3 linked regions of the Callithrix jacchus genome follow. The protein of the gene in region 3 purifies or fractionates together with the protein of the main gene of each other region. This does not show direct contact. Links are inferred from orthologs where the notes say so. Each region holds a gene or a part of one and is shown on either strand. Other genes may lie near its edges. The genes, in order: TBL1X, PRKD1 and HDAC5.

What was found.
Region 1: the proteins of HDAC5 (region 3) and TBL1X purify together in Homo sapiens (affinity purification with mass spectrometry; 3 studies listed by BioGRID and IntAct, with this or other methods). This does not show direct contact. The link is inferred for Callithrix jacchus from reciprocal best matches to the Homo sapiens genes HDAC5 and TBL1X.
Region 2: the proteins of HDAC5 (region 3) and PRKD1 purify together in Homo sapiens (affinity purification with western blotting; 4 studies listed by BioGRID, with this or other methods). This does not show direct contact. The link is inferred for Callithrix jacchus from reciprocal best matches to the Homo sapiens genes HDAC5 and PRKD1.

The regions. Positions count from the first base shown.
Region 1 is NC_133524.1:9,682,962-9,687,243, reverse strand, and holds the start of TBL1X (F-box-like/WD repeat-containing protein TBL1X), read right to left. Parts: upstream 2,916-4,282; 5' UTR 2,777-2,915; intron 2,295-2,776; exon of another isoform or gene 1,784-2,294; intron 1-1,783. UniProt on the Homo sapiens protein: F-box-like protein involved in the recruitment of the ubiquitin/19S proteasome complex to nuclear receptor-regulated transcription units. Plays an essential role in transcription activation mediated by nuclear receptors.
Region 2 is NC_133509.1:63,838,412-63,842,054, reverse strand, and holds part of PRKD1 (serine/threonine-protein kinase D1), read left to right. Parts: intron 1-19; coding exon 20-287; intron 288-3,643.
Region 3 is NC_133506.1:70,958,294-70,962,365, reverse strand, and holds the start of HDAC5 (histone deacetylase 5), read left to right. Parts: upstream 1-1,163; 5' UTR 1,164-1,523; coding exon 1,524-1,674; intron 1,675-2,093; coding exon of another isoform or gene 2,094-2,323; exon of another isoform or gene 2,324-2,456; intron 2,457-3,318; coding exon of another isoform or gene 3,319-3,371; exon of another isoform or gene 3,372-3,544; intron 3,545-4,072. Other genes in the region: uncharacterized protein LOC118153996, read right to left, coding at 2,094-2,323. UniProt on the Homo sapiens protein: Responsible for the deacetylation of lysine residues on the N-terminal part of the core histones (H2A, H2B, H3 and H4).

The sequences.
Region 1 (4,282 bases), on a different chromosome or scaffold from region 3:
TAACCAAGCATCATTTCTACCTTCATTTCTAAAGCTTCCCTGTCTCCTGAACCCGCCGCCTATCACGCCGCATCTCAATCTCTCTGATCCCATCCGCCAAGAACAAACCTCGGCAAGAAAAGGAAACAGTACCCGACTTCCTCTGAAAACTCAACATATTCTCTTTCATCTTAACTTTAAATTTGTTCCAATTCCATTTTTAACAGCTTCCAATTCACTTCTGCAACCTTCAGGCATGCAGTAGATTATCTGTAAACATTTGATGGGGATGGCCGCGCTGGAAGGAAGCCGGCTTGGGTGGCACATCCATCTGAAGTCAGGCTCTCGCTGGCCAGGCAGGCAGCAGCCCGAGTGGACTCCTTAACAGCTGCCTTTCTCCCCTGGAGATGTGAAACTCCTGTTCACAGCCTAGGCTCTGCTTGCTCTTTAGAAACCTGTGACTCCTTCAGCCCCTTCCCACATTCAGCCTTTCTTTGGGTTCCGGTAGGTTTCAAGTTTGCCAGTCTGGCCAGTGTGGTCCATTTGGTCGAGCCCCACAGAAAGTGAGGGCGGGAGTGGAGGGGCAAGACCAGTGGGAAAAACTCGAGCGCAGTCTCCTGCTCAAGAGGTCAGTTACCTCCCTCTCACTAAAAATAGTTATGGGGAAAAAGTTTATCTTTCCAACTAAAAAAAAAAGTGTTTATAATATGCCTTTAGTGTTGCTTCCTGGCTGAAACTGATTTGTCAATGCATGTGGTAGTGAAAGATTAACAACCTCTCGGATGTAGCGTACTAGGTCTTTTTGTTTTTCCTAAGGGAGAATAAAAAGCAAAGCAAGGCAACAGGAAAGCAGCGCAAGGATGGTCTTGCCTGGCTGGGCAGAGAAGCTGTGATGATCGGCTAGGCCTGGAGGCCCACAGGACAGTGCTGCAAGGCAGTTTTGTAGAAAACTGGGAAGGGGCCAGGCCCAGGTTCTAACGGAGGTGTTCTCTTACCCAGCAGGAGTGGATCAGAGAATCTGAATTCCTGACACTCACGACCTGCTGGAGATGGCCTCTGCTCATCACCTTAAAAGGTGAAAAAAAGCTTCTAACTAAGAATGATGCACAGAACCAGTGGTACTGATATAATTGATGGGAAAACTCCAGAATTTGAAACATTCACTTCTAAGTGTGTCTACAATAAAGTTATTATTTTTTGCAAACTGTTTCCTCTTTAAACTACTGGCAGGGAGAAGTTCTCTGAGTCCAGTAAAGGGGCAAAATACCTGCGGGTGGGGAAGCGAGGGTGTCTGCACTACGCCACACATCTCCATGTCAGTCCTACAGGTGTGTGTATTCCGAAGGGCTGGAATCGCCTTAAGAGCCGGTGATCCAGTGGTGAACAACTTTCGTTGTTTGTATGAGTTACGCAGTTTGGTGGCTTTCCACAAAAATCTGCAGCACACCTGAGACATGACAACCCTTTAAAATAAGCATGTCATACTCAACATTTTTCTAGATTTTATTTTCCTAATTGCATCTTTTCTAGGTAGGACTTGTAAACTTTTCGTAAAATGGTCAAGAGCCACTTTCCGACACCAAAGCCATGGCCCGGGACCTTAGCAGGGAGGTCGCCTTCCAGGTTAAACCAGGGATTCGGCGGCGTGTCAGGAGATGGAAAACATCCAGAAGGCAGGTCAAGCCACACATGACAATGCAAAGCAGAAACAGTTGCAAATACAATAGAGGGTGGGTTTCTGTTTCTTTTTAGGTTTTGCTCCAGAACATCACTGACTGACTCGAAAATAAACGATGGTCCCTACCTTTGTGGAACGTCCAACGCAGCTGGCTGGGGAAACACGAGGCCTTGCAGCGAGCGAGCCCTGGCCCCAGTATGACCGCGCACAGGCGATGCACGTGAAGTCCAGGCCCTTTACCCGCACTAGCGGGGCTCCAGCGACCCACAGTTGTCACAGATCCGGCCATCCCCGACTCCCGAAGGCACACTCCCCATACCGCACTCCGAGCACCGGTCCCATCCTTAGATAAAGTCCCCCGCAGCAAGGCTAGAGCTCCGGATCTGCGAGACCCACCCGACCCGACCCGCCAGAGCCCAGGAGCAGCAACAGGTCTGCGCTCTCCCCGGGCGGCGCTCTGCAGACCCTCGACGGGCCAGGGGTGCCCCCAGCCCGGTCGTGCGCTCGGGCCGGGGAGATGGGCAGAGGACAGGGACTCCCGACTTCCTTGACAGTTTCTGCGCTTCAGAAACTGAGCAGACGCGGAGCCCGCGCCTCCTCACCAGCCACTCGCCCCACTCCGCGCAGCTGCGCTTCCAACCGGGTGCCGGCGGGCCGGCCCGCGTAGCGGGGATGAATGGGGCTCCCCTCCCCAACAGGGGGAAATCCCGCTACCGCCCTCCACCTCGGGCCCCGGAGCCCACGGTGGCGCAGGTTAACCCAGCAAGCCTAAGGATCGGCAGACAAAGAGGCACCATAGGAGAAGCGGAGTGCTTCCCGAAACTTACCGGCCGCCTCCCCCTCCCCAAAACAAAGGAGCCCCCAGCCGACCTCCGTCTCCTACCCCCACTTTGGGGAACCGCCACCTCGGGGTATTGTTCAGTCTCCGGGGAGCGCGCCGCACACCAGTCCGAGCGCCGCGGGGACAGCTGGCGACCTGCGCCTCCAGGAGTTCCAGGGGCGGGAGGAGCGTCGGGCTCCCCGAGCCTCCGGCAGGACCCCCGAGGGTCAGCACGGAACCCGCCTCCCCGCAGAAGTTTGCGGACCCAGCGCCCGGCCCGCCGAGCCCCGCGCACTCACCTCACCGCGAGCAGCGCAACTTGTGGCGGCGCCGCGCGCCGGTCTGCGCTCCGAACCTCCCTCCAGCAGGCAGCCTCCGAGCCCCTGCCGTGTGGCGGCCGAAGAGGGCCCGGCGCCCTGGAGCAGCGGCGCGCCGCCCCTGGGCCGCCCCCGCCCCGCCGCCGCCGAGTCCCTGAGAGGGCGCGGGCGCTGGAAAGTTTCGGTGGCGAATGGCGGCCGGAGAGAGCTGCGGCGGCGGCAGCGGGGCGGGGGCGCTGGCGGCTCCTCGCTCCCAAGCGCGGAGTGGGGGCGCTGAGGCGGGCGCGGCGGCGGCGGCGGCGGCGGCGGCGGGAGAGGGCGGGACGGCGGGAGGGAGCGGGACGGCGAGAGGGACTGGCTCGGGCAGTGACCTCCGCGGGGAGCGGCTGCGAGCGCGCGGACTCCAGCTGGGAGGACAGCCTAGGGGGCCGCCCCCGCCGCCGGCCCCTCCCTCGCGGCCGTGGGAGGCGACCCCGCGTCCCACCCGGCCCCGCCCCTGCGCCCCGGGGGGGCCGCGTCCCGAGCCAGCCCCTCCCCCACGAGGATAGGGACTCCAGCCCCGCCCCTCCCCCACTGAACCTAGTGGGAGACCCGCGTCCCAACCCAGCCCTTGCCCCTGGGTCGGGGGACTAGCGTCCCTACCCAGCTCTCCCCGCTCCCCCACGCCTAGGGTGGGTGAGGGGAACCCGGGCCTCTCCCTAGTTGCCGGGGCCCGGTCCCTTCCCCGTGGCCCCCGTGGGACTGAGAGGAACCCAGGCTTACCCTCATTCCATCCCAAACCCAGCCTTTCCACGACTGCCTGGAGAGGACAGGAACCTCGGCCACCCCCTCGGTTTATAGCGGGCAGGGGAACCTCGGTCACTGCTAAAGTGTTACCCTCCCCCATCCCAAAAAGGAAGCAACCCGGCTTCCCTGACAGAACCCCAGCCACCTGCCCGAGGGTGTATCTACCTCAAAATCGGCGTTTTAAAAGACACCCCAGTTATCTTTCCCCACCTCAAGAAGTGGGGACTCCGGCGGAACCTCCACCTTTGCAAAACACCTCCCGGGAAGAGCCAGAAATGCTTAGGGACAAACTCAGACCCCGTCAGAGTGGCCGGAGCTCAGGGGTGGGGGCTGAGGAGGAGGTTAGGGGACCTGGGCCAGCGGGCTTCATCACCCCCACCCCCAACCTTAGGCTTCAGCCCTCGGGCCCTTGCTAAGTGTTTGACGTAACGGCTTACACTGCCTGGCCCTGGTGCACCCAAGTCCCCAGCGCTCCTTCCTCCCCTCCACCTTGATGTCGACTCCCCACGACTCGCGACCTTAATTCAGTTAAACAGATCTCCGCTCCCCCTACCCAGCACCTCTTGGGTCAGCCTTGTTGAATATTTTTCAAATAAGTTTGCCCCTTCCTTTACTACATAATAAGCTTCGTGCTAAGAGCCCGGTACACTCAGAAGTATAAACTATAAACTCACTTGCTCTTCCTCGAACACTAGACCATTT
Region 2 (3,643 bases), on a different chromosome or scaffold from region 3:
CGAACCCTTTTATCAACAGGTGAAACTTTGTGATTTTGGTTTTGCCCGGATCATTGGAGAGAAGTCTTTCCGGAGGTCAGTGGTGGGTACCCCAGCTTACCTGGCACCTGAGGTCTTAAGGAACAAAGGCTACAATCGGTCTCTAGATATGTGGTCTGTTGGAGTCATCATCTATGTAAGCCTAAGTGGCACATTCCCATTTAATGAAGATGAAGACATACATGACCAAATTCAGAATGCAGCTTTCATGTATCCACCAAATCCCTGGAAGGAAATCTCTCATGAAGGTAATACCTTCCATTCAAAAATGATAATGATCTAATCCTTATGTGTTTATGTTATTAATTTAAATGAATTTAATTGTAAGTTATTACTTGATAAATGCTCATTGTACAGTGTCTGCCAGAGTGGAGACACAAAGACACAAATTAATTGGGGTAGGACACATATACATAACAGAAATTAGGGATATATATATATATATATCCATATATTCATATATATATATATATTTCTTTATATATAGAAGTAAGTGAACAACCAGATAGAATGTATTTTGGTACATTTCCTTAGAACTTATAAATATTTATAACTTAATATAATGGTAATGATGAATTATTGTAAAGGCTTACTTACATGTGCCTAGTTCTTTGTTAAAAACTTTTAAATTATTATCAAGACAGGAATGTTATGACATTGATAATTGATATTTGAATGATCATATTACATGTATTAGTTTACTAAGTTCTTTGTCTACTGATGTTGTTTTTAGCATTAAAATATGTATATATTTTACATGGCCATTCCCCTGGAATTTTTAGGTTATTTCTCTGTGTTCAATATTATAACATCCTGATGTATTATTCCTATATTTATCTCTGATAGTTTCTTTAGAATAAATTACCTTGGTAATGTTGCATTGTTTAGAGCCATATTCTTACTAAGTATTTCATTCCTCTTAAATAAAACACAATTGTTTTAAAAGAAGTTACAGGGGCTTACAGGGCAGAGAAAGTGACTTATTCAGTACTTTGGAAAGGAGTTCCTCAGTTAACATTCATTGGAGTGTATTTAATTCTCATAAAAAATTTCATAAGATAGATGTTACTATTATGGCTATATTTCAAGTGAAAAAACTGAGCAAAAGCAATGACACCACTGCTCAAACTACAAAGCTAGTATATAGCAGGGGCACAATTCATACCCAGGTTGTCTGAACATACATCCTTTCACCACTAGCCCTACTTCTTTTCTAGTTTACAGGCAATATCTAGTTCTAGGTTCATTCTGTTTGTTTGAATATTCACCATGTGGAAAGGCTAGTACATTTGTAAACCTCACTTATGTGATGCCTGTTACTGCATATGTCGGTATAGAAATGGGAAAAGAGTATATGAACTGCCTAGGATAAATTAAGTTCTTAGACTGCTAATGGTATTAAATGCCAAGAGCTATCCATTATCAGAGTTTTAAGTTACCATTAGCAATAACCTTTAACATCCTCTAATTAGTTGCAAATCATAGGTAGATGGATATATCTTAAAGGAACCTGTGGCCCACAAAAGAACTATCATGTGTGCCAAAGGAATAATTAAATATTTGTCATAATTCAACAAAGATGAAAAGTAAAGTGTAATTATGTTTCTTTTCCAGGAGACAGAGTAGAGCGAATTATCAAATAACCTTGTGACCAGTACCCTTGATAGGAAACATTACATCTAAGTAGAGCTAACCATTATGCTTGATACTGCTAATCCAGAAATCCAGTAAAATAACTTGATCCTGTTATCAGAATGCAAATCTGCAGTATCACTGAAGCCAATCAGACACTTTCCTGTTGTACAGAAATTGGATGTTGGGAAATAATCTTTATGTTTTTAAACTTTTTTTTCTTGGAGTAGTGGAACAAATGATGTCCCTTTCTCTGCTTTTGTGAAAATTTGACTTACTAAGCAGCTATATAGCCTATTAAGACAAAACATATTCAGGCCAGAAATAAATGTTTATAAATTATGAACTTTTAATTATCACTAATAATAGACTCTGGAGGACTAGATATCAAAGGCTTAGGAAACAGTTTTTGGGAAATCACAATATACGTACTTGGTAGGTAATACAAAAGTAGAGGACAGAATATCAGACGTGCTTCAAAGAACTTGAATGTTAGTTGGGGAGATGAGTTATGTGACATTGGATAATATGATAATTTATTTCCTTGAATTGTTACTAGGTGGAAAATCAGGGCCTCTAAGTTCAGAGGAAAGAGAATCACCATGTACTTAACTAGTTAGAACTCTACTTTCAGAGGAGACAGAATTTAGGCCAGTCACTGAAGAAAGAAAAGAAAGAGACATAGCATTTTAGCAACAGGGAATTATGTAGGATAATTCAAAAGGCATTTATATTTGACTAGGATTTTACTTGGCTGTAGAAAGGTCTAAGCACTAAAAATTTCCTACCATTCAAATAAAGTGATATGGAGATCAACTCAGATGGGAGATAGAACCCTCACTTTTCCAAATGACTCAGTACCTCCTTATGGCTCACTCTTTCCTTGGAGGCACAGGCATTATACTGTTATGTGAACTAAAGCTCTGAATGGCAAAAAGAAAAAAAAGTTATTTAGCTGCTGATGTATGAACAGAACTCATGCTTGAATATAGAGAAAAGTTAGTTAAATTGCATCATAATATCAGTTAAGGTGTCATAAAAGTAGTTGCTGGCTCAGGTTCTATTCCATTATCTTATTGAAAACAAATAATTCCATCATTAGAAGTTATAATGGAGTTGAGACCAAATAATTTTAATTTTAAGCTTGTAGGACCTGATAAACCAGCAAAACTATTAATAGTATCTGTCACAGGGTGGTCACAACTGATATTAGATCAATTTTTAGTCTCAGGATACTTTAAACCACACCAGAAACACTGAGAATTCAGATCCGAGGAAATAAAACTCCAAGTACCTCCATGATTCTGACAAAGATGAATGGTCAACAGTCAAGTAGTTTGAGACAGAGAGTCCTATCTGCCATTGTGAGTAGTCATCCCTTACCTTCTTTGGGCTTCATTTCCTCATCTGCAAAATGGGAAATGATTCCTGCCTACATAATGAGGTTCTAACAAAAACTGACTGAGGTAAAGGTTATGAAAGGCATCTATAAAGGCAGGTGGGGGGTGAGCCAAGAATTTGCATCAGGAGGAGGACAGCAGAACACTAAGCACTTGCCTGGCTGGTAACCAAAGATTGATGGTATCATTTTAGAAACAATGTGAAGGTTTCCTTGGTGTTCTTTGGACATATTGCTAGTTGTATTTTTTCCTGGCATGAAAAAGCAAAAGAAAGTGTTGTTATAAGGTAAGATCTTAATAATATGCATACATGTGTCAGAATTATAGATTCCTTTACTATGTGTTTTTTCTGTTAGTGTAGATGTTGACTTGATACAATATAATATCTCTACATTGGGGTGGTTGTGTAGCATTGTGCTGCTTGATTCGCACAACAATCCTCTGATAAGTGATTTGCTTTAGTCTCTGCATTAGAGAGAATAAAGAAAGGTTTCAAGACCTCGAAATCAAGGATTTAGACTGGAAATCATTTGTCATTTGTCTCCATTCTATACAACTATATATTGTTGTAT
Region 3 (4,072 bases):
CTCTGTACCTGTGGGAGCACAACCTGAGGAGAAGGGGCAGGCCAGCAGTGGGGAGGGCATGGGAGTGGCACGGGTCCTCACAGTGCACCAGCCCTAGGACCCAGGGAGCAGAGCCTATGCTGCCAGGCCTGAGTCTGGCTGGTGGGGAATGGCTGGATGCTGAAAGACTACTGACTCTTCCTAGCGAGGCACCAACCTCAAGTCTCTTCCTACTTGAGCACAGGGTTTATTGTACCTGTTCATAGAAACCCTGGGAAATGGGAGGCAGTGTGGTGTGGTGGGTCGAGCTCAGACTTGAGTCTCGGACATCCCAGCCCTGTCATCTAAGCAGCTGTATGACCCAGGGTGAGTGACCATCTCCCTGTGCCTCAGTTTTCCCTTCTGTGCCTCTCTCCCAAAGTCACCATGCAGAATGAGATGATGTATGTGATGTTCTTAGCACCACACCTGGCACATGGATAGGGAGGAGCTACCTGTGCTGCGAGAATGGGCAGGTGTTCCCTGGTTCGCTTTCCCAGGCTTGGGGTGAGGAAAGGGGACCAGGGAACCCCTGTCTGCCCAGGAAGAATATCCCTACCCCCTAGAAAGAAGCTGAGGCTGAGCAGCCTCTGGAGGCGACACTCCAGAATGAGTGGGAGGGAGCTGCCATTGGCAGGTGTTTGGGGGTCTCTCTGCTGGTTGAAGGACTGAGGAGGCACTCCATTCCTCAGCTTTGTGGGAGGGTAGAATAAGCAAACCTCCATGGGCTGTTAGAACTCCAGGGAAGTTGCCTGTCTGCCAGCCTCTCCCAGACCCTTTCTATTCCTTTACCTGGTCTGGAAGGCAAGAGGGCAGATGGAGGCTTGAGTCTGGCTTCTTGGTCTCTGTCCCCTGGCTTGCTTGCCAAAAGTAGCAGTCAGAGCCGCTCCCAGATGCATGGGTACCCCAGCCAGCGCCCTTCCCCAGCCCAGCCTCTGGCCACCTATCGCTATGGCCTTGGCCCTGAGTGCAGGCCCTCCCCCGTTCCCATCCCCCTCGCCTGGCGCTTCCTCCTGGGGTAGAACCGCCTCCCCCCCATGGGGCCTCCTGGCAGCCGGCCCGCAGCTCCCTGAGCATGCTCCACCTATTTATAGACAGGGCCCTCCCCCAACTGCTATTTCAGTCTCCTGCCAGCTGCCGGCGGTGGCTCATTCGGGAAGGAGGAGCAGGGAGCCGGCCCAGAGCTGTCACCCAGGATTGGGAGGGAACACAGAGAGCCCGCCTGCCCGCTGAGCTCCCCTTCCTGTCCCAAGTGCTCAGCCATACCCCAGCTCCCGGGAACCAAGGAAAGGCTGGTGGTCGGATACCCCTTTAGAGCAGAGCTGGGCCTGCAGCTCTTGGGCCTCCCTGCCCCTCCTGCCGTCAGGAGTGCCCAGGCCGGATGAGGCACTTCCCCACAGTACGCGTCCCATTGGCAGTGGCCTGAGGGAACCCCTGCACAGTGCGGGCCACCTGACCACCTTTCCTTGGGCTGGCTTTCCGCCTCTGGCGGTCCCCTCCCTGGCATGCTGCTGGTGCCCAAGGCTCAGGGGCTCGTGGAGATGCTGCAGACCATCTATGAGACAGAATCCTGTTTCTCAGCAGATGGGATGTCAGGCCGGGAACCATCCTTGGAAATCCTGCCTCGGACTTCTCTGCACAGCATCCCTGTGACAGGTAAGTGCCTTGGTGTCCCTGCCTGCCCTCTGTCATTGGGTATCCTTGTCCCTGGGCTGAGCATCTGGCTCCGAGCCTTGTGCAGATAGCATCCTGTGTAGATCTGTCTTGAGAGTTTCACTGAGAATACACAGGGCTGGGGGATCCCTGCTCAGAGAGGCCCCTGCCCTCCCTGCCCAGAGCCTGCTGCTCCCCTGTGCCCTGCAGCTGTACTCTGCTGCTTCACTTCCAGTCACTTTGGCCTCTGGCAGGGTCAGCATCTGTTGCTAGGGGCTGGGGGTTACTGGAGGATCCTGGCCTAGTTGGCAGTGTGGTCAGAGGGGAGGAAGTGGGTCAGTGACCCGCCTCCTTGCTGCCCGCTCCCCAGGTTTGGGCAAGGGAAGAAGGCGTAGCTAGGTGTCCACAGGAATAAAGCTTACCCCGGCTCCTCTGGCTTGGTTCTTAGGGCTAGAGCATCAAGTCCAGTAACTTCCGCCAAGTCCCCAGCCAGGAGTCTCCTGAGAATCAGACACTTGGGGAGGCTTGGTATAGTTGTGATGGAGTTAGGCAGAGGCTGGCAGCTCGGATATTGAGGGGCTTGGCTGCCTTCGCATCTAGCTGGCTCCCGATATCGCTCCTCTCCCCAGGTCTGGGTTGATTCCCGTGTCATGAGGATGAAGAGGTATTACTCTGGCTCAGATGGGGTTAGGACCCCCTAATCCTGCCACCCTCTCAGCAGTAACCTTTTTTGCCTCTTGGCTAGGGGTGGGGTCCCCCAGAGCTGGGCTACTCCTTCCCTCACTCCCGGCAACCTTTCGGCAGCATCAAGCCTTTCTGGCACAGCCTCCCCACCAGGCCGGCACCACAAGATGCTTCTTCCAGGGAGGGGCCTGCTGGACCCATGCCTGCTTGGCCCCTCCTGGTAGTGGCTTGGCATTCAAGTGTGGGTGACTATGTGTGTGCACGTGTGAATGGGGAGTCTTTGCCTATGGATATGTGGGAGTGCATCCCAAGCTTCGAATTGGAAGGTGGGAACTGTGTGCCTCTGCAGGTCCCTGTGATTTGGCTCTGAGCTGCCCAGGGATAATGTTGCAGTGCGACTTGGATGTGTCAGAGAATAAATGTTTCGGGAGGATTCAGAAGATCTTTGGAACATGGCCTATCATCTTCCTGAGCAGGGATACCCCTGCAGTGTTCTCACGTAGGGGCATGGCCCTGGAGACTAGCCCTGCAGGGTATCCATGCAGGCCCCGGGGATAGGGGCCTTACCCTGGGGCCAGCCCTGTAGGCTGGGGCTGGGATGAGGGTGTAACCTTGAGGACCAGCTCTACTGTGTACCCATGAAGTCCCGTGAGGTAAGGGCATATGCCTGGGAGCCAGCTCCATAGGCCCCTGGGATAAGGAATAAACCCAGAGGGCTGGTTCTTATCCTGGTCTGGAGTCCACAGGGTCAGCGAAAGACCCTGCCTGCTTGCCCCTAGTCCATGGCCTCCGGGACTTAAGGTGGTCTCTTGGAAGGCAGAATAATCACGGAGCATTTGCTTGGGGCAGCTCTACCCTGTGTGGCTTATCAGGTCCACCCATCCTGTCCTGTCCCCTCCATTCCTTGCTACTAGCAGCAGCCAGCAGTTGGCCCAGAGTTTCCTCCTTGGCTTGTTTACTCACCTCTTTTCAGACTGTACCCCAGAAACCTCGAAGGCTGGACCCTGCTCTCTCATCCCATCCCTAAGCCTGGCTGCCCCTGCATGGACCCCCAGGCACCTCCTCTCTCCAGATGCCTGTCTCCCCACACCAGCCGATGTGGGGGGTGGACCAAGCCTTCTGAGTGGTGGCTTGCTCCATGCTGGCAGGAGGGAGGCGTGAGTCACCTCAGCGGCTCGGGGAGAGGGCTAAGAATGTTCCCCCTGCGCAGCTCTGATGCTGTGTCTGTGACGCGGCTAGGGACAGATATAGGCCTGGAGCTCGGCTGCCTTGTTTTTTTTTTTTTTTTTTTTGGACTCTGGAATGTAAATAGATGTTTCAAATAGAAACACTTTAACCTTTGGGTTAAAAAAAATCCACCCCGGATAAACACGGCCATGAGGGCCCGGGCAGCCTGGTGTTTCCCTCCCCACCCCCTCTCCCCGTCTCTTGATCGGTCTCCAGACAGGATGCAAGAGCCTGGGGCTGAAAAAGCAGGTGTCCAGGGATGCTTCTTTGGACAGTGTGAATTGCACAGGCCTCCCAAGGGGTTGGGGTAAGGGGCTTTTGAGGGTACGCCTGCCTGCCACCTCCAGCAGCATCTTGGAACCCTATTTTAGGGACAGCCTTTGCTCTCTGGGCTGTCTTGGTTGCTGCCATTGCACAGCACCTAGCACAGTGCCTGGCACATGGATGAATGAATGTCGCATGGGGAGGGCTGGAGTCCAGGATTGCTGGC